3 linked regions of the Oreochromis niloticus genome follow. The protein of the gene in region 2 interacts with the protein of the main gene of each other region in a pairwise test. Links are inferred from orthologs where the notes say so. Each region holds a gene or a part of one and is shown on either strand. Other genes may lie near its edges.

What was found.
Region 1: the proteins of spry1 (region 2) and gemin4 interact in binary tests that used the Homo sapiens proteins (3 or more experiments, as listed by UniProt). The link is inferred for Oreochromis niloticus from reciprocal best matches to the Homo sapiens genes SPRY1 and GEMIN4.
Region 3: the proteins of spry1 (region 2) and creb5b interact in binary tests that used the Homo sapiens proteins (3 or more experiments, as listed by UniProt). The two-hybrid records come from large-scale screens. The link is inferred for Oreochromis niloticus from reciprocal best matches to the Homo sapiens genes SPRY1 and CREB5.

What each region holds. Positions count from the first base shown.
Region 1 is NC_031979.2:1,528,615-1,536,232, reverse strand, and holds the start of gemin4 (gem-associated protein 4), read left to right. Parts: upstream 1-4,523; 5' UTR 4,524-4,675; coding exon 4,676-4,685; intron 4,686-5,312; coding exon 5,313-7,301; intron 7,302-7,618. UniProt on the Homo sapiens protein: The SMN complex catalyzes the assembly of small nuclear ribonucleoproteins (snRNPs), the building blocks of the spliceosome, and thereby plays an important role in the splicing of cellular pre-mRNAs.
Region 2 is NC_031966.2:11,001,232-11,008,339, forward strand, and holds the start of spry1 (protein sprouty homolog 1), read right to left. Parts: upstream 3,067-7,108; 5' UTR 2,475-3,066; intron 973-2,474; 5' UTR 923-972; coding exon 1-922. Other genes in the region: afg2a (spermatogenesis-associated protein 5), read right to left, coding at 5,406-5,585. UniProt on the Homo sapiens protein: Inhibits fibroblast growth factor (FGF)-induced retinal lens fiber differentiation, probably by inhibiting FGF-mediated phosphorylation of ERK1/2. Inhibits TGFB-induced epithelial-to-mesenchymal transition in lens epithelial cells.
Region 3 is NC_031976.2:18,511,234-18,518,916, forward strand, and holds the start of creb5b (cyclic AMP-responsive element-binding protein 5), read right to left. Parts: upstream 3,041-7,683; 5' UTR 2,955-3,040; coding exon 2,925-2,954; intron 2,851-2,924; exon of another isoform or gene 2,755-2,850; intron 1-2,754. UniProt on the Homo sapiens protein: Binds to the cAMP response element and activates transcription.

The sequences.
Region 1 (7,618 bases), on a different chromosome or scaffold from region 2:
AAACACCTGACAGCGAGAAGGTCATGTCCCTATTTTCTTTGTGGCTGAACAGAACACTATGGTTCAGTGGCTTGGGATGTGGAGTGCCTGGATCCTCCTCGTACCAAATTATCTCCACATCCGAGGGTAGTAGCCATTTGCCTCACACTTAACCATCAAGTCCTTGCCCTCCTGCAATAACAGGGTGGTTCCAACATTGAGGGAGACATGGGGAGACTCTGAGGAAAGGAGAGAGAAAAATAAATAGTAATTTCAATACCTAACAGCAGACAATTATTATAGTAACTGGCCTGTTTTATTTAATTCATTTATTTTAATTTAATATTCTTTCAGGTCAAAACTGGTGACATTTAAAAGTTAAAGTTTAGATTTGGTCTGAGTTCCAGAATTATAGGAAGTCAAATTTAGTAAGATGCATTTCAGGTTACACACTTAACAGAATAATAAAAAAAATATATATATATAAAATCTCCCACCCAGGCTCCACTGAGCATGCATTTTTATCACATACAGTAAGTTCAGCACGGACACAAACAGGCACATCAAGCGTTAGATCTGGATAAAGAGAAACATAAACCTGATCATCACTTACACCAATGTATTTTGGTGTAAGTGATGGAAAAACTGAAACTGCAAGTGAATTTCATTAACATCAAACATTGTAAAGATTATAGAACATATAAGTTTTTTGCAACTTTCTATCGATCCGCCAAGGAGGTTCTGTTTTCGGTCTCGTTTATGTGTCAATCTGTCTATAAACATGAACGCTTGAAAAGTTTTAAATGAATTATGATGAACCTTGGAACTGGTGTAGTGGAGTGTAGTGGAGTAACAATCCAACAAATAGATTTAACAGTTCATTAAAATTTGCCTTCCATCCATCAATGTTAGTTGAAAATAGATTCAGAAAGCAAAAAAACAACCTAATAACTAAGAAACTGAGATTCTTAAAAGTGTGCTATATATTGACAGCATATAAAAAGTACCATATAAAGATTTCAAATATCATGTCACATTTGACCTCTTACCTTTCCTTCAAGGTCAATAGATTGATCTGAAGGTCAAAGTAATAAAATGCTATAAAGAGCTATTTAAAAATAGGTTTCTTACTCTCATTGTTTGTACTGACAACATATACAGTACCAGTCAAAGGTTCACAGTTTCTTATGGCAAGCACAATAATCAATCATTACTTTAACAACTGGAGATCAGTCAGTCTGGAAAACTGCTAAAATTTTGAATTTGTCCCCAAGTGCAGTCCCAAAAACCATCAAGCACTACGATGAAACTGGCTCACATGAGGACCGCCCCACGAAAGAAAGACCAAGAGTCACCTCTTCTGCTAAGGATAAATTCATCTGAGTCACCAGCCTCAGAAATCACGAGCTAACAGCACCTCAGATTAGAGCCCAGATAAATGCCACACAGTAGCAGACACATCTCTACATCAGCTGTTCAGTGGAGAGTGTCCGAATCAGGCCTTTGTGGTCAAATAGCTGCTAAGAAAGCACTACTAAGGAAAAGCAACAAGCAAAAGAGATTTGTTTGGGTCAAGAAACACAAGAAATGAACATTAGACCAGTGGAAATCTGTGTTTTGGTCTGATGAGTCCAAATCTGAGATGTTTGGTTCCACCCACCGTCTATTTGTGTGACACAGAAAAGGTGAACAGGTCTCTACATGCATGGTTCCCACTGTGAAGCATGGAGGAGGTGGTGTGATGGTTAGGGGGTGCTTTGCTGGTGTCACTGTTGGGGACTTATTCAAAATGGAAGGCACACTGAACCAGCATGGCTATCACAGCATCCTGTAGCAACATGCCATCCCATCCGGTTTGCTATTAGTTGGACCGTCATTTATTTTTCAAATTAAATGAGAAGGTGTGTCCAAACTTTTGACTGGTAGTATAGACATATAGGGAATGGTCCAAACCTATGTACCTTGAATCTGCAGATATATATCCACCTTGGCGAACAGTGGATTCACGGACACTGAACAAATGTAGGTCCCTTCACTGATCATCGTGGTGGAGGCGAGGATGTAGGAGGCATCTCCAGCCGCAAGGGCATGTAGTCCGACACCGCTCCCCTTGGTCTGTCCTGTGCGCCTGTTGTAACTGAAGAGCTCAGTCCTCTCACCAGGGCGGTGCCTATGCCACTCTACGGTGACCTTTGCACCCTTGTGGTCGACATCAAACTGGCAGTGGAGCTTTTGCTGGAACTTCAGGCGTGCTTTAACTGAGGGAGTCTGTGTTTTGATGACCATGGCGACTGCAGAAACAGATGTGACAAACAACACAAGTGTCCTTTACTCAAATAGGTGACAACCACTTCCTGTATCTATGACATGACAATTATTTGGCCATCCACCATTCCAAGTCAATATAACTATAACTGTCTCTCTCTATTTCTACTCTAATCTCCGAGACACAAACACAGTTTCTTTCAGCACTCTGTCCTTAAATGTCTGCTACTGCAACAGGCAGGCAATTAAATAAAACCCCTAGGAGATAGTCTGTGGGGCTCAACAAAAACACACCATCCTCACATGTGAGTTTACCTGCGGTGGTGAGTACCTCTTTGTCAGCAATGACAGACCAGTTGTGGTAGTCTGGCTGCCCTGGGGGAGGCTGGTCAGAGGGGTGTCTGAGGGAGCCAGCGACTGCGAAGCGGCCCCTGCTGTGTCTGAGGATGCAGGTAAACCAGTGGTTGTACTCCCGGGCACCGAGGACAGGCCAGCGAATGTAAGTGCCCTCTGTGCTGTATCTGTGCAGCTCACACTTCAGCTGCTCTGCCTCCACCCCCTCCACATACTGCAGCAGATCCAACTTTGATCCTAGAAGATGATAAAATAAACACTAACACATTGTTGTTGTTTTTTCAGCCTTCTTCTCATGCAGGCTGCAGTAACTCACTGGTGACCAGGAAAGTGATGGCGTTTGGGTTAACAGGAGCATCTCCTTTCTGACCAAACTGAAGTATAGCCTCTCTGGGGATGACCCGGGTTTCAGTGTGGTTGTCCTTGTTCAAATACAAACGCTCATCAATGAAGTAACAAGGCAGCCACTGGATCTGATGGACACTCCACACACCTGAATGACACGAATACTTCAGTCAGACAGCATAGCCGTTGGAATTCATGCGGTAGACTAGAATATCTATAGTCACTTTTGACCTAACACGCACAAGCTGACCTAAGCTAATCTGTGACAACGTGTTGCACTATAACTCACCTGCACTTAGATACAAGTAAAAAAGTATCCTCAAGATTAAAACCGTCATTCTTTCCCGGTGCCCTCCACTGTCGGACTCCTTGTTGTCTGATGTCCACACAAAGTTTCTCTTGATACTTTCACTTTCATTTCAAAGGAAAAAGAAAAAAGGAGTGCGATTTCTGGCGTGATGAGCAGCTCGAAAACCAAACCTTTAAAATAAAAACCCTTAATCATAATCAAAAAAGTTAATAAAATCCAGAATATATGCTAGAAAAAAAAATAAATAAATAAAAAATCAGGATACAACGTCCTAGTTCTTTTTACAGCGTTCCTGTTTTCATGTTAGACGTAACATTATTGTAGCTGGAGCCTATCCCAGCTGCCACGTGGCCAGAGGTCTGTCTGGTAGGAAGACTGTGGTAGGTGCATATTTTACTTTATCCATTACCACACAAACGGACTCTAAACTGTGAGCGGTACCCGGTGTACTTGGAGTCATGGGGCAAATGTACTCCATACTCAGGATTACTGAAATGTGACTATGTGAACCACCGCACCACACAGTTTAATAAATAGTTCACAGCAGTTCATGAGGAGTCAACAGCTTGCAACAGGTCCTTTTGCTTTTGACTTTATATAAAACTCGTAGTACTGACTTTGCCCTGAGGTGTCGCTGTGAGCGCATGACGACAGCAGCCTTACTAGTCTTTCCGACACCAGAGCTGATGGACGAGAACCATGTCACTTCCTGTTAATCTCGTTTTACAGAAATTCACTATTTAGTTCACCTGAAAGTCCTGAAATAATAGCAGTGAATGTAGCCAAAGCACTCAAATAATTATTTCTCCATGCCCGATTTTAGGTCTAACAATCTACATCATACGTTATTTAGATATTGGGAGCGTAGTTAAACCACAACAAAACCTATCATGCATATGAGAACTGCTTGTGGTGGTCGAAGGTGATTACTGTCTGGAAGTTACTGCCAGAAGTTTTCCGCGGCTGTTTGTTTCATGCCTGAAAGCAAAGTAGTCGATGCATTATGCGGCTCTTGGTGCTGTTTGTATTACACCGAAATGTTGGAATCCCATAAAAAATGTGAAAATGGAGCTATATCTATTAACTATTAAGGAAAATATTTAAAAAAAAACAACAACAACAACAATAACCAAAATTGACATTCTGGGGCTACAGAGCCATAGAACTCTATTCATTCTGCCATATGCTTAGAGCGCCCTCTATGAAACCGGAAATCCACAGAGTGGGAGTTCTTGATCATGAATTCTCTCTGGTTGTACACGCTGATGCTAACAGCGGAAGCGCTTTATACAAAGTTGGTGTCACTCTGATAGAAACCTTTGCTGGGAGGTAGTTTCGTGTTTGCTCTCTACTTCATTGGAACTAAAATTAGCAAACTAGCTTCTTAGCATCCAGGTCCACTCTGCAGCTTTGACACTAATAATGAACAAAGGTAACCGCTACACTTCTCACGTTCTCATACAGAAAACACGAGTCACAATTTCTCTTATGCTGTAGTAAATGTTGCGTGTGCTAAAAGAAAATAACAGCAAACCGTGATTTTTCGCCATAATCAAACCCCCCCCCCCAAAAAAAAAATTAAATAGTATCAGCTTTAGCAGTTTAAGAGGTAATGCTGTTCTCTAACCGCTCTGCTGCATGTGTGTGAGAATGACAGAACAGCGACATTTTATTCTATATATATTTATATAGCTTGTATTAATTCTGTGTGGAACTGAAAAATACACACTAATACCTTATTCTACAGAGTGTGGCTGTTCATATAAAAGATCACGATTTAAAATAATGAGATACAAGTAACCTCTCTGAGCTCAGGCTTCACACCATGTTCCTTCCACTGTCAACTTTAGATGAGCCAGAGTTGAACTTCAGCTTATCCCCAGTCAAAAGCCATTTTCAAAGTGGCATTTTTTGGTCTTAAGATCAAATGTGTTGTTTTTTGCGCATCTTTGCCATTTTAGGCTAATTTAAGGAGCTGAGAGGACAGTTAAAAATTAAAAAAAAAATCAATTTCCTCTGGCAAATATGAGTTTTGATGCCTTTTCTCTTGTTCTTTCAGATTCGACAGTACTTCAGGGAGCTTTCCTCCTGGCTGATAAGCTGTGTTCCCCCTCATGCCTGTCCACCATTCAGAAAGCAGACTGGAGCCGGGTGGGACATGTGATCCTGGAAGCACTCAAAGAAATCTGCAGACAGGATGAAGTCAGTGACTGTCCCAACCGAGCAGCCGAGAGCTGGAAGAAGAGGATGGTTTGTGTTGTGTGGCTGAAGCTGCTGTGCAGAGAGGCTGAGGAGAACGTTGAGTTGGCTTGGAGGGAGAACCCTTTCTTCTCTCTCCAGAACAGCCTCCCTAAGGTCAGCCGTGTCGTCCTGCTGGAGCTGGTGAAGTCAGCAGCAGCTGCGGGTGTTTTTGCCAGTTTCCTCCTGCGTCTTCCTCACGCTCAAATCTGTGCTGAGCTGGAAAGGCTGGTGGAACATGTGAGGAGCGATCCCGTAGGGGAAGACGATATCCGACTCCTTCTGGAGGTTTGGTGGGAGCTGTGGAAAGGCAGAGCGGAAGAGAAGGTTGGAGAAGAAGAGAGCATAGAGAAGATGTTTGCCAGCCAGCTTGCTCACCTCTCCTCTGAGTCCTCCAGTCTGTCCCCTCAGGCTGCAAAGAGGTTAAAGTTAGACACGCCAGATTCAGCAGATATTCTGCACATTCTCCTTCACGCGCTTAAAGGCATGAAATGTCACATATCCTCAGCTGACCTCTGCTTTCAGTCCTTATCCATTTCCCTCGATGCTCTTTACACAACCTTCCTGATAGACCAAAACGTGGTGCTTCCAGCTAAAGAGAAGTTGGACTGTTTGTGTAAAATCCTCCAAGCCAGAGAGGAGAACATGGAGAAGCTGAGTCCTGAAATGATTCAGGAAGCTCTGAAAGACTTGCGTGCTTCTCACACACCTTCTCAGTTTCAGCTGTGCCAGATGAAGCTGAGTGAAGCCCTGAAGATTATCACAGAGCTTGCACAGTTTTGGCAAAGCAGTGTTCTCAATCAATGTGACCACTCCAGTCCTAGTTACTCTGCTTTCCTGCTAGAACAAAGCATCCAGAGGGTCCTGGCTTCTCTAGAGGAAGCACCCGGAGCTGGGACTGACGACTTTGAAGGAGAGAATGATACACTCAGAGGTGTGCTGAAGTCACTGTCCCTCCCTGTAGCAGAGAGCAGCCCTGAAGTGAGCGCAGAGGTCGCTGCTGTCATTATCACCCATCACCTGGAAGACTCTGAGGACTTTGCAGTGTTGTTTGCCAGTGAGCCATCATGGGCAGAACGTGCGGATCGCTGGCTCGACTGCCTGGAAAAAAACCAGGGGGCCTTCCGGCAGCACGGTACCCTCATGAGCCTCGCCTCCACCCTAATGAGCAGACTCCATAGCAAGAGCGCTAACGTGAAGCAGTGCCACAAACTGCTGAAAATCGCTTCAGGTATTTTCTCCACACTCACATTAGAAGACCAGAACAAAGCGTTGGCTGCCATGCTGAGATTATCCAGCAGGGGGTTCTTCGAGTGCTCTGTACCTGCTGCTCTAGCTGACGGGTTTGAACAGGAGCTCAACATGGCCTTCAATTGCATCATTCAGGGGGCGGGCGGAGCTTCAGCGGGAGCTTCACAGGGCAACCTGACTACGGCAGCCTCTCTAGTTGCAAGAGTAGCCTTTCAGAACCCCGAAGCCACTTTGAGGTCCTGCTGTCATTCGGCTGTTTTTAACAAAGGAGCTTTCTCTCTAATGGCTAAGATCCTGGAACAGCTGCCAGGACTCAGAGACCAGAGGGGAAGAAGAAATGGAGGGAGAAAAAAGGTGGTGTGCAATTTACTTGGCAAGTGTTTACAGGACGTGATCCAGACCAAGTCACTGTCAGCAACTGAAAAAGAACAGTTCCTCAAGTTCCTGAGTCTGCTCATGGAGCCCGTCACTTCAGCTGAGGGAGAAGGAAAGAGGGAAAGCATTCTGTCACCTCAGGAAGTCGTGAACACCTTTGTCCTGCCTAACCTCTCAGCTACAGGTGAGTCTCACATGTTTATGTTTACCACAACCTACATTAGCTAATTTCTTAACATTTTACAGTTGTGATCAAAAGTTTAGAGCCACTCATCATGGATATGAATATCATGGCAAGTCTGGGCTTTTAACATTTTCAGGGTGGAATGATTGTACAGCATACATGTGTAATGACTTTGAAAAAAACAAAACAAGAATTGGATCCACAAGTTTTAATTTATTTTCACTGATCCTGACAGGGTCAAAATTCTAAATGTTAAATGAAAAGGTTAAGTGTACCGTAGCAAGTTGCATCTTCATCAGAAACTTTTAGTTGTTACC
Region 2 (7,108 bases):
AGAGTACCGACATTAATCCCATGCACAGGAAGCGAGAGCAGCAGTGGGAACGTGACAGTGAACAGGGGTGGTCAGCACATGAATCCCCCTCATCGTCATTGGAGCAGTGGTAGAAGATGCCCTTAACAAGGCACATACACGTGCCGTGCTCCAGTGCACTCTCAGCAGAGCAGAGGCACTGGCCGTTACACGCCAGACATGAAGGCAGGCTCCTGGGTGCTGTGCAGTCGGTGCACTTGCACTTCCCACAGCGCTCGCAGATGAACTGGTGCCCAGCAGCAGCCACCACCTCGTTGCCAGAGCCAGAGAAGTCTGATTTCCCTTTGCCCTGGGGCTTGAGTGGAGCCTCTAGTGGAGGCTGGTAAAATTGAGGTCCCTGCTGGGGCTGTAAAAGGGCCTTGGGCTTCGGCTGAGTCCGAACAGGCCGATCCACTCGGTGGTGATGCTGTAAGCTAATGCCAGGTCTAGTGGGGGGTGAGCGTGCCAAGAGTCCCTGCTCAGAGGAGGCACTGCTATTGCTCCCTGAGCTGGCGGCGCTTCCTGTGCTAGTAGAGCGACTGAGCCCTGGTGCCCGAGGCCCACCATACTGCTGTCCCCCAACCAACACACTGCCCCCAGCATGATGGTGGTGACCTGATGGTCGGTGCTCATAATTGTTGTTCACATTGACGAGGATGACCTCGTGAGTCCTCTCCTGCTTTTCATGGGGTCTGGAGACCATCCGGGGTGCAGGGGGCCTCCGAACCACTGAGGGCCCCTCGGTGTACTCGTTGCTAGAGCGGATGGCCTTGATTTGTTCCAGAGAGAAAATGCCGGCATGCTGGAACTCCCGCTCGTAATCCGACCTCTGCCGACTCTCTAGGGAAGGCTGCTGGATCACCACTAATGAACCGCCAGGGCCATGTTGACTTTGGAGCTCCATCTGGGGGAATCACCACTTCCGACATTCACCGTGGACATGCATCGGAAAACCTGCCAGAGGGAGGGGGGGAAGAGACAAGGAAGAGGCAGGAGATATGATCAGAAAGAGTCAAGCAAAAAAAAATAAAAAATTCTTGTTCTAGGAAACACAGTCCTGATGGAAGAGGGGTTAACACAATCCCAAGTGTTTTTGGATTCAGAAATAATACTAATAAAAATCTAATACTAATATATCGTTACAATCATTCTTGACCCATACCATAGCAGTTATTACACAGCTATAACATAAGATGCTGAACAGTGATTCTAAATTAATGACAAATAAGTAATCTGTGCAGGCTAGTTTAATATTTGCAGGTGTCTTTATAGTTAATCCAGACCAACTGTTTTCACCCTGTCAACATGACAATATGTCACTTTTGATCCCGTTAAGTGAGGCAACCCGGGAAAAAGTTGACTATTAAGACTTTTTGTACCTTCCTCCCCAACAGGCTAAATCTAAACTTCAGCAGGCCCTACAAATACTTCCCCTACTCATTTACATTTGTATGACTAGTTAACATTTAAATGCACCGCGGCGACGAAACGAGGACACGATCCAAGGGAACTAAATGAGCTGCCTCACTTAGTATTCTATTACTACATCAAAAAGGATTTCAGGGAAACGGGGACAAAAGTAGAGCTAGAAAACTAAGGTCACATCAAGTTCCGACAAAATATAGACTGCAGTTAAAAAACTCTGGAAAGTCGTCGGATTAAAACGGTATTTCAGGGCCGAGAAGCCCCCAATTTTTGAAGTTAATATGAACCAATATACATATATATATCGTATTTGTATTTATAGGAATACGATTAGGAATTTGAACTTGAGTCTTAGGGGATGTTATGAAGCACAGCCGACCTGCAGGAGGCCGAAACTTACAGTTTACAAAAACATAAACCCTAGCTGTCCCGTGAAGGGCTCCTTAAAACTATTGACGATTAAAAAAAAATAAAAACTACTACAATCAAAGCGGAAAGATCCATTTTGCTGCTTTGCACATAAACAAACGCACGTTTCAACTATATTAAAAAATATTTTCTATACATTTAATAGTCTTTGCGTCAAATGGCGCACTTTGAATAGGATCATATGTACAGAACGCGCTCACATGAGAAGGCGCTGTTTGCAGTAATAAAAACAGGATCTTATAAAGCCGGAGATCAAGAGACATTACAGGACGCGTCCGAATAGACGGGCAAAACTTATGAATGAAAACAACCGCCATGGGGGAGGGGTGTTTGTTACAGCACAGCCTCGGAACAACACTGGCGTGGAAATCCATCAACTTCACCAAACAGTCGCGATCAGTTCAACCCACAGCGGATTCTTTATTTCATGGGGAACACATGGAAAATAAGACGAAAAGTCTTTGCGCACAGCAAAACATTTGGACTTTATCGCTGCAGCGGCGCTTTCTAGGTAGCTACGTGCTCTACTATCGGGCAACAAATGCCCTAAAACCAAAGCAAAATGCGTAAAATAAGCGTGAAATCACTAAGAAGATGCATACCTATATGCAAGCATCCATAGCGTCGAATCCATCAACCAAATAATTTACCAAAACTCCATCCAAACGGAAGGGGCAATGTCCAGCTGGAGATTATGAGGTCTAATGCATAACATTCAGTCTGTTAATCCAAGTGCGAATGTATCCCTTTGCGTTATTCCCTTTTTATTTTTTTTCGGTTAAGTCGTACTGAAAAGTTCAGCGTGTGTTACGCGTGCATCTGTCCCAAGATAAAGTAAATCCACGGCGGAACTCTGATGAAGAAGGCTGAGAGGGAAAAAAATAAATAAATAAACACGCGCGAGCTTATATCCAAAAGTCTCTCCTCCTCGCGTATCTGCTGAGAATTGTATTTGAGTTCTGGCTGTTAGTTATTGTTGCGGGAAATCTGCGCTCTTGTGCAAAAGCGTCGTTAGGTTGCAGACAGCGGTGCGCTCTCTTCTGCTCTGCGGGCCTGTTCAGCACTGATGAATGGGGGCTCAGGGCTTAGTGTTTGCTCGACAATCCAACTCCCATTGGCCAGCCACTCCGCTGAAAAAGGATACATCGCATCCGCTCCTGATTCATTGGACAGATGTGGAAGGCCGGGCGATAGAGATGTGTGCACTGGTTAAGGTGGAACGGCTTTTTTAAAACGCAAACGTTGACTCAACGAGGGGGCTAGGGGAAGAAAAAAAATACTAGTTTCCGTTCTTGTGGGTTATGATTAATGGTGTGAATGAGGGTGATGTGACTAATAGTGACGTATTAAACGCCGTATTTATTTATAACATTGCTGAGTTGTCACTTTTGGTACAAAGACCATACACAAGCATCAAAAACAGGAAAGAAATCCACTTTACGTAGATTCAGAATTTACCTTGGGAATCTGAGAAAGTGCTAAATAAATAAATATTTATTTCTTTTTTTCAAAAATGTGTACCTAAATACCACGTTTGTCCTTATAAGATGAAAAATAAACCGAATATTGTTTTAAAAGGGGCGTTTGATATATTTGTACTGGGAACAAAAAATATTTTTATAGGATTTTAGAGGAAAATATGAGTAGGATGAACAACAATAACAACATCAAAGTTAATTATTAAAGGGTTTGGATGAGAAATATAAGTTTAATAAATATGGTTAAATTAGGTTAAATCTTGCACATGTCAAGGAACCTCATGCGACTAGAGAAAAGTTTGTTATAGAAATAAGAACGAATCATATATTGAAGAAAAATGGCTCCTAAACCGGAGTTTCATCGTTTCTGTGCTCTGTAGCTGTTTACCGGTACTGCTGTGAAACAGGCATCCATACACATCCAACTCATTAGTCTCTGTGAATTAAATACAAACTCGAGCCCAACCAGTTTCTGCCCACACAGCTGTGTCATTGTACAGACAACTCACAGAGGAAGCATCAACAGGATGTCCTCTGTCCTCTGTGGAATGTTCCCATTACGCACTAACTCGTGTCATCAGAGGAAATACAACGTGTGGCAATGAATGTTCAGTTTGTACGATTCTCTGATATGAAATCACTATCGGAGGAGTTCTGTGTTGATTTCTGTTTGGGCAGCGGTGGGGTGGGGATTTGCGGGGTAGTGTGCGCTGTAGCTTCAGACCACCTTAAGAAAAAAGCTGCCCTGCAGCCAGGGGGGAAAGGCTCCCCTCCTCACTCCTGCCACCCCCCTCTTCTCTGTTCCTGACTGTCTGGTTTGATTGGTGTCGCGGATGCGCTACATCCGGATCCATGAGAAAAGGAAGTTCAATACAAAGTCAATTTATCCTATTCAAATGGAAAAATCAATAGATGAATGACCCCCAGTGCCATTTCGGGTCAGCAAATGTTTAAAAAAAGAATAGAACAAAAAGACCTGCGGAGTGTAAAAGTGACTCCGCGGTGCAGTAATGACTTAGAGGTTATTTTTTTTTCAGGCCCGATGTAAAAATGTAGCTTCTGATGATAAAGAAAACCCTGGTAGACCGACAGATGGCCGCCTGGATCCCTGCTCTCAGTGGTCGGAAGTGCGGACGGAAATCTCACGATTACAGCAATTAGTTGATTTTCCATGGATAGATGTGATGAATATACCAGCCCAGGCTGTTTTTTCTCCCCGTGGATGCGGAGCAGCGGTTCACCAAACTCGGGGTTTAGGAACCATCAGGGGTCCTTGTCTAATGCTGCTATTTAATTCCATAGATGTCCGTGTGCATATGGAATATTCTGATTAGAGGGCTCACACTGCCCACCAACTGTATAATCAGTTAGACAACGTTTTTACCAACTTCGATTTTATTGCAGCTTTACCCAACATGTCCTGAAAAGGCAGAAAAACCTGCGATTTGACTGGAGGAGTTATTCAAAATCCAGAAGAGCCACAACTCATAAATTACACAAAGTGGCACTGGAAACATGTAGGACAGACAGATTTATAGGTGAATGCTAAGCTACAACAAAGCAGAGCGTAGGAGGTATTTAAATCCAGTCAGATCTATAAGACTGCACTGTTTTAACGCCATTTGGGACGTGTTAGTTTACGGCTTTTCTCAGCACGTTGATACTGCTGTAAATTCGCGGCTGGACGTCTTTAACAGTGCAAACTACCACACTGGCTCACCACTGTTGATATGGGATTAAAATAAGGCAACCAAAGACAATGAATGGATCGATGACAGTATGAATACATTATCATTTTTATTTGATCAAACATGGCAGCACAACATATCCTTCAAAGTCAAAAAATAAAGCAATAGTGTCAACACTGCAATCTACACAGAGTGTTATTTTAAAGTCACCGCTTTAAAACTGATGAGATTCTTTGGCCTAAGGTTGTGGTTTGAAAACATTTAACACTGTGTAATGAAGCAGACTGGTACAGTTAAAACATATAACTCTAAACTAATAGAAATAACGAAGAAAATCCCAATTTTGACTTTTTCCACAGCGGTGTGGTCAGAAGAAACACAGGCCACTGTGTTGCTGCTGATAGCTGATATACGACTGGATGACAGAGTCAGGGATTCGGGGCTTCACAGTGTTCAGGGCACTTTCAAAGTGTCTGGCTTCGATGTGCCGAGCTTTGATGTCCTCTTGCAGGGCCAGGAGGGCAGCCTCTCTACATACTGCAGTTATCTGGGACAGGAAACAGACACAGTCAGGAAACAGACACAGTTACAGTCAGCAGTCAGGCAAAGCACTCCATCCACTGACCACTACTGAATCATATGAGGGGGCACATTTAGATGCTGATCGATGTCATGATTAGAGATGGCACGATACCACTTTTTTATGTCCGATACCGATACCGATATCATAAATTTGGATATCTGCCGATACCGATATGAATCCGATATAGTGTGTTTTTTAATCAATAAAACTGTTTTTTTAATATCTTGCTGCATTTTGTATAAGTTCATACTCAAGTTTAAATAAACAAGAACACTAAAGCTATTCTGTTATACCTGTGTGTAAAAAATACACTGCACCCAAAATATTTCATAGTTCAGTAATACTGATCAATCTAATAAACTTAAACCTACTCCATCCTCCCTATTCTGGTATTTTAAAGAGTACTTAGCAGAAATATTAAGCAACCTAACTAATAGGGTTGCAAAGTCCCAGCAAAAAAAAATAAATACGGAACCACCCCCCACCCTCCACCTCATGATGCTTAATCGACGTAATCAACTTTAATTTGATGCAGGGTGAAAAAAAATGCACAGAAATAAATTATTTTTCAAGAATAATTAAATAGATTCAACATCTTTCTTCAACAGAATTGCAGAATTCACAGATGGTATCTTCCCAAAGGAAAAAGTACTATAGCTTACTAGGGTATATTAGACTTAACAGTTACTATATACAGTAATGGACTTCTATACATTTTACATCAGATTAAAACTTTGGGTGTAAGATTCAGGTAATTATTTATTAAAAGCTAGACATTTTAAATGAGAATAAGAAAGAAAAGTATGTCTTTGTGCCCCCTTTTCCCTGTTCATGCCCTATCGGCCCCCCTGGCTAAACTTTGCTAGATCCGCCCCTGCACAGTTACCAGCCGTCAGCTACGTAGAAAAGGATCCTGGTCTAGAAAGTAATATTAAATAAATTCTAACAACAGCTTATCAAGTTTAAACGTGCTGCTGTTGTTCAGCCGCTGGTTTCCTCTTTTTGGTGCAAAGTGGGCCAAAAACAAAGAAGAGAGACAGACTCGCAACAGAAAAGCCGATCAGCTGATCATTAAGCAGTTTTATGATTGAAGTAGCAGCAGGAAGGTGAGGGAGAGAGAGAGGCAGTCGCTCCATATATCGGTTGTTAAGCTTAACGCGGGAATGCTTTACAAACATTCAGAGATGAACTTACACACTTGCTTTACTTCTCTCTGGGATAACTTTCTTGGAGATGAAATGCTGGTTTGGTAGCGAGGCTACAAATACACACAGCCGCTCTATCACGTGAGCACACTGCTGCGACGTGCTACGGTTATGAGCCGAGTTACGCCGTGTCGCAAGTTTTGTGAGGTGCTTTTTTGATATTTAATGGATCGGATTACATTTTTTATTTCTCGCCGATATCCGATCCAGTAATTTAGGTCAGTATCGGACCGATACCGATACGTAATATCGGATCGGTCCATCTCTAGTCATGATAGACTA
Region 3 (7,683 bases), on a different chromosome or scaffold from region 2:
CAGTATTTACAACACTGATACTGGACCACATCATTTTCATTTAATGGCACATAAAACATTTCCTTTTATCGCTTGCATTATTATCACCTCTGCCTGCTACCAGTTCACAAGAACCGCAGCGCATCTGTAATTCTGTAATAAGCCTGTAATAAGTCAGTACGGCATGTCAAGTGTCAGCCATGAATACTTTCATACGCTATGTGCATGTGTGTCTCTTTCATAGGTACAGGCTATTTCCTTAAGCGCAGTCAAAACAGTCAAATATTGTGTTATGCTAAGCAGTCCTGTTTTCCTAACAAGTTGTACTTCATGAGCAAGCCCGCTTGAACAGGGTCTGGAAAGGGTCTCTCTGTCAGGGAGCAATGAGACCTGGTCTGTCTTTCTATCACCAGTTCAGTTCTTTAAAACAGGGCCCCTAAAAACTCACCTGGTCTCTTTTGACACAACAAACACAACCAACACTGCTGATCATTAAATAAAACTAAGCTCGAGATGACAAAAACAGTGCCTGTAGAAATGGCGCTACTCATTCGTGTATTAAATAAAGGCCCATTTCTTTTTTATCGGAAATGTTCATGAAACAGCATGAATCAGCTGTTTGCACAACTCTTGTTGGAACTGTTGTTTACTAGCTCTCCTCTTGATTGCCAGTATGAATTTGAAACAGTTCTTGAAACATAAAAACTTTAAAGCAAGCCATTAAAAAAAAAATAAGAGAAAAATTGTTTCCATAACTGTAAAAAACAGAAACGTTTACCTTCCTGTTCCTGTTTCTAAAACGGGACTCGATCATTCCCTCACATTTACTAGGAAATTCAAACCATATGATGCATAAAACTTCCAGCCATTAATTCTGCGAATGCCTCTGTGAATTATCCAATAGCTTTCACACTTCAAATTATCAGCATTCAACGCCCTTTCCTTGGACAGGGCACTTGGCTCTCATTTAATATAGATGTTTTCGTTTAGCAGAGGAAATTTGGTTACACTTTACATTAACTGTATCCTGATGTAAGTGAGGGGAAGGATTAGGGTCCGGCATTCGATTTCAAGAGGAACTTGGGAAGAACTCTGCAGGTAGACCGCATATTAGAATTTAAACAATATGGTGAGGAAAAGAAGGGTTGGGGTGCAAAGGCATATGGGGTTAAAGCAAGCACAAACATGCACAGCAATTCAAATCTGCAGCTCCAGTGCCATAGCCTGGGCTTTTGAGAGTACAAGTTGAAGGAAGGATTACGGCGATCCCTGAGGCAACGTACGGGGGACCTCTCTGACAATGTCTGCACTGAACTTCTGCTCTTAAACTCAATGCATGACTAGAAGACTGGTCTGACTGAAATATAAACTTCAAAAGCTTTCAATTACTGGTCTCTGACTCAACATAAACTCATAAATCAAAAAATGAATGCTCTGAGGTCTAGCATGGGATTAGCACTGCTCACATTATTCTAACTGTATTATTCTTAGCGTTCACTTTGCAGAACTTTGCAGGTAAAGGCGAAAAGAAAGCTCTAGTATTAAAATAAAATGCTCTAACGTCTGTGGTGTACTTGTTGATCAGACCTGAGACTGCCTTTATGCTTCCTACCTTTTCACACCTTCTATATTAGTACAGACATTACCAGGGGTACCTCAAGCACATAAAACAATCATCACGAAATGCAGCTCACAGTTTACTGCTGCAATCCAACTTAACATGTAAAAAACATATATCCATGAAGGTTAGTAAATAACACTATTATAGAATAAACAAGTGAGTTTAAATGCATTAACTATAGCTTATGCTACTTGGTCTAAGTTTATGTAAATCCTAATAATTATTATGAACTATTTTTGGATTATGTATTTTTGCTTTAAAAATGCTTTTTTTGTCCAGCAAGTTAACTTTTCTCAATCTGATACATATTTTTTAAAGAGAAAAATTATTGTAAAAGCTTTCATACAAAGAAACTCCATCCCAGTCTATATTAAATGCTGAAAAAACGTCGCAACAGACATAAATAACACTTTAACCGGCGTTATTACCACACCGAATAAAAACTCGGGCACAATAAGTGGAATCGTGTACGAGAAACATGTGTTATTGATAGTGCTGTCACATAAACATAATGACAGCGGCCGGAGAGCAATCAAATAATTAAAGCATCTTTCTCTTTTTTTAAAAAGCCGTTCCGTCACAAAGCGCGCACCGTCAGCACAACCTTACTCAAAGTAACCCTCAACATCTTAGCGCTTAATCAAATATCGACTGGCCTGCAGAATGACGTAATCTTGATGAACATTGCTGTTCAAGAGAAAAAGGGGGACATAAATTTAACGTAAACAGGGGTATTAGTGCCCCCCCTTTTTTTTTTTTGTAAACTGGGGTAACAGCATAACCACCGGCCCATTATCTTCCAGACAGTCATTGGTGAACCGCAGCACGCACGAGTCCCGGAGATTAGCCTGCTCTGCGTATCCCTGGATGGGACAGGCATGACAATGATGCAGAGGTCCAGCTTCGGAGATTTAGAGCTAAATGAAAACTTAGAAGACGTGCCAAATTGGTGTGAAGTGCAACGAAAAGCGTCTGTTGCATTAAAAATGTTCGCGTTTTTCCGTCATTTCAGATAATTTTCTGCAGACTTGCCTCCGCTGCTACCTGACAGACCGAGCTGCAGCGGCACTTGACTCCGCGAGACAGGCCAAACACACGGAGCGCGAAGTGACATGACAATGCACTCACTCAAACAAAACTTGGACGACACAAACCTGCGGAGACGAAGGAGTTTTGGACGAGGAGGTGAAAAAAAATGAACCAAAATCACATCTTTAGAAAGACTGCTGAAGCGAACGAGAAAACAAGCTGTTGCATGAAAAAGGGAGAAGAACAAGTGAGAAGAATCGCTTTTTAAAAAAATAAAAATAAAAAGATAACAAACCTGCAGAGGCGCGTGCACGGTCCTCTGCATGGTGGCAAGGCTTTCAACTTACCAAACAAGTGCAGAAAATGTGAAGCAGTCTCTCAGAAGAAACCACGTTGGACTGAGAAAAGATTACAATACGATCTATTTAGAGAAGCATAACGTCACCCTGGGTGACGTCACGTGGGATTCCTGAACTTCTAAATCATTGTGGTCCGCTGGTAGGTGGAGCCAGCGGGGCGGAGTTTGCAAATGCACGCCCCGGGGCATGTATGAACGCCGCTGGCCCTTGGTGGGTGTGGTCCAAAGCTGGAGCGCCAGTACAGAGCAATGAGCGCAAATAAACGTGCGGTGCTGCAGCTTCTATCTGACAACAGCGAGAGCGATAAACGGGAAAACCCACTAAACAGTACCACGCGTGAAATATAATCAAGACCCTGCAAACTTTATCCAACAAAATCGAAACTTTATAATAAGAAGCTTCTGCCTTACAAGTAAATAAAAATAATTCTAATATTTGCTGATTCTAGGCTCCATATCTTTATTCTTGGACTCAGTAGCTTTGAACATTAGCCACAGCCTCTCAGCAAATCCACTGCTGAACCAAGCTGTTTTAGCTCCTCTACCAAAAGCCACACTTCTTTTACACCAGCTTTATATTGATTGACTCCCCCTTGCAAACAGAAGGTTTGAACATCAGGCTAGATGACTGGGATGACTTTATTAGGGCTGTTTCCTCTCACAGGAGCTTTGATAATTGTAATATTATATATTTATGTACATGAGAGAAAATAAGGAAACACAGTAAATGTCCCCCTTAAAAAGGAACCAAGCAGAAACTGACCTTTACAATGTACCTTGTGTATGCTTGTGTAACATGATGAGTGAAGTGTTTTTCATGCAAGAATACAAATGTTCTCAGACTAGCAGTGCTCGAATTTGCTAATTCAAAAATTCAAGTAGAATTTGGGAAAACTCTATGTAGAAAACTAAAGTAATTATGAAACTTGGAATCTCTTCAAAATAAATTATAATAAACATACATGACCAAGTCTAATGATTCCAGAAACAGGAAAGTTCCTTTTTGCCAGAATTACGATTCAGCCTCGGTGACAATCTGCATACTGTATTACTCCGTGATGTTACTGTCAGGGCCTTAGAAACTTGTTTTCGTTAAACTGGTTTCATATTTTGCTTATGTTTCACAGTGAGGCTATAACCTGGCAGGACTCAATGTATCATCAACAGCTTGACTGGCAAATGAACTGAATGTGCAAAACACAGAGCGTTGCCTGTTGCCTTTTCTAGAGTGTGCCTTAGCTACAGCACATAGAAGAGATTTAAACAGCTCTGAAGTACAAAGCATTTATGTTGGAGCTCTGCACGACCTGCTGGTGCCAACTGGCTGTGATTTCTTGGGCCACAGACACTGGTAGTGAAGCCATCCTCGGTTCCAGGGATTAATGACTCCTCACACATTGAGAAATGTTTACCACTCGCCACTCCACTAGACACACTAAGAGCTCTGTCACTGAAACAATAACGCAGTCTGAAAAGCCCTCATAACTCAGAGCCTCTCTGCCTCTGTCTTTTAACCAGAGCTTTAATCAACATTTATGACATCCTTTTGTCTCTTTATTGCCAATATATTTCCCAACCAATCCAAACATTATGCTCCCAGAGGAGCAGACTATTAAGGCTGGAAAGAGCCGATACAGTTTGGGTCAGTGACCCACACTAAAGTGGACTTGATCTATATTATACTAAACCTTTTATTATTATGCCTTTGTGCAATGCTTCTAGCTAAGATCACCTTGGGAAGATAAGGACCAGTGATGATGCTTTGTTGTAGCAGGTGCAAAAGGTGAAGGAGGCTAATAACGAAAGCGTCTCATAGGTTTTCAATTTTAACAAAATATAAAGCACTTTAATGAATATTCCACTTTGCAAAGCAGTCAGCTATAGGAAATAGATGTCCACATTAATGCTGCTCTTCATACCTTAAACAGAGATGACTACACCCAAAGAGATATTAGTATAAAGCTCTTAGTAACTGTGCAACAACAGAAATATAAGATATTTAGTTATCTGTTATCGCTCATATAAGCAAATACTTCTCCAAAATTTGGGGTAGAAAAAGCAAAAATAGAAAAAAGAAATGTAAAACTAATAAATGATTGTGGGTCTTTGTCAACTGGTGTTTTTCTTGTTTTCACGCACTACTGGTGCATCTTCATCTTACATTTTGGTTTAAAAACAACTTCTAAAACTCTGATTTTAACCAACAATATATCAAAGCAGACACTTTGGGGAATTCTGCACTTTAGTTTGTAGATGAGATCATCCGTAGTTGCGTGTTTGTTTTAAAATCCCTACGTTTCAATCAGAGGCTTCACCATCTAGCTCTTATCACATATTTGAGACCAAGCAAGCCATGACTGTTGTAGCAGAGGGAAAGATGTAAGATAAGACCTAAGCAGCCAAGTAAACCTTACTCACATCCGAAAGAAGATAGTCTGGGCTTTTGGCTAATGCAGGGCTGCCTGATAACTCCAACAGCAGTAGTTATATTGACAGATTCAAACTTTCTTCAGAAAATGTTCAATTTTTTTTTAATTATTTAACAGAATAAATTGTTATATAGTCTGAATGTCAAAAATAAATAAATAATGTAGAGTTACTTATCTGTCTGATTTGAAAACATAATCATATCTTTACAAAGCCAGGAGAATATACCAGCCTAGCTGACTATAAATATTGAAAGATTTTTCTTCTGAACTGGTGGGAATGTCGTTCCAAGTGTTTGCTGTTCAGTGGTTAAAGATCAGGAACTACTGTGTGGTGAGGGAAACCTCAGGACATACTGAATATCACAGTGTTGACACTCTGTCAATGTCAAGGTCTGTGGGTTGTAAAGGAAAAAAAGTGCATATATTTGTGTGATTTGAAAAATGAGAATGTTCAGTAATTATAGTTCACTGCATTGCAAAACAACAATGCAGTAATAAAAATTCAATACTGGGTTGTGGGGATGTTTTGAAATTAAACTCCAAAATAAGGATAGAAAACCCTTTACTCTACAGGCAATTGTTTAACCAGTAAATTTACTTTTGTCCACTGCAACATCTGAGTTACTCATACATCTTATAAATTTCAGCATTCAGATTAAATATTGAAATACTGAAATGAATAGTCAGCTAGCTGGTGGTTTGAAACTGTCAAGACTCAGTAATTTCTGTCCTGGTATGCAAACTATCTCTGCTGAGCTTTCTAATGGCCCTGGGAGTCTCGGCCAGCAAAACATATACTCTGGAGGGTCCTCAGTAGATAACCTCAGTGGCTTTTTCTCGCTCAAACACTTGACCCTATAATATTTACATTAGGTGGACGATAAATGGTGGTGCCTGAGTGAAACCTATGGAGATTTGTAATGGTGTAGGATGATCTTTTTGCACAGCACTTGTGAGAAGGTTTATCGGTCTAATGATTAATGAACTTGGCTTCTGTGTTACTTAAAGGGGATTATTAATAACATTTTTAACAATAACATTTTTTAAATGTTATATGGCGAGGCTAACAATAACACTATCATAACACCTTTAGATTACATTACAACACTGCATGGATAATATTTTGTGAGTGGTATTTCCATTGTGTTAGTCATTCCTATATGATTTATATTGGCCTGCAGGACCCGCTGTCCTATTACAAATCACTTAAATAAACACACTGATGATTTGAGTTAGAAATAAAGTCCCTAGGGAGGTGCTTTCACTTTCAGCTGTTTGAAATAAGTTTCCACTCCATGCAAAAATGAAGCCAGAAGGACTGAGGTGCCCTTTCTTTACTGTAGTGTGTAGGAGTGAGGAAATTATCTTATTGGTTGGCTCAAACTTGCTGGGCAGTTCCCTGAGAACAGAAGGGTTTGGTCACTTACGAGCAGCTGTTAAACGTGACTTTGCCTGCATGTGTTTCCACAGTGAGGTTGAACAGTCTATTCAGTACATCCTAAGCCCAAAGAATCCCAAACATATCTATTACCTCATCTCTAAACTTAAGAGTAATGATCAGGTGAAGCCTTACCCATCAAGCAAAAACGTCAATAAATAACAGAGGATAAGCCATGCCAGGATTTTTAAAAGAAATCCATCAGTTTCCTCAAACAAGAAGCTGTGAGTGATGTAATGCTTTCATAGTAATATCCCACAGTGTTCTCATGCATAACTGGAAAAGAAAAAAGTTTTACCATTACTGGTCTGAAGTTTGGATGAGCCCAGTTATGACCCATTACACATCCATCAGGCACGGACTCAAAGTTACCACACAGTCCATGGATGCAAAAAAAGTAACTAAAGAATTCTTCCACTTACTTTTTTGCCTCTTTAAAAAGGAACATTTGTTACATATTGTCACATATACATTGTAGAGACCCGTGTTTCTCTCTTACAAGTTGTTGCATCAGTCACTCTGTTCTCCTGAAAACAGTCAGATGGGGGGGAAAAAAGAAAAGAAAAGAAAGAAAGAAAAAAACAGCTCCAGATTAGATTAATGACAAGGCACAAAATGTTTCAGATCTGTTACTCTGACAAGTAATTTAATTAAACGTAGCGCACACACGCTGTAGTTGTTCAGAACCTGTGCACATTTTCAAATTGATTTTATGCATTAATGAACGATGAAAAATGGCAGCATGCACTTAATTCCAGCCTGTCTCTACCTCAGACTACCTTAGAGAATAAAATCACTTTGCAGAACAAGGCATGTGAAGTGCTGTTGA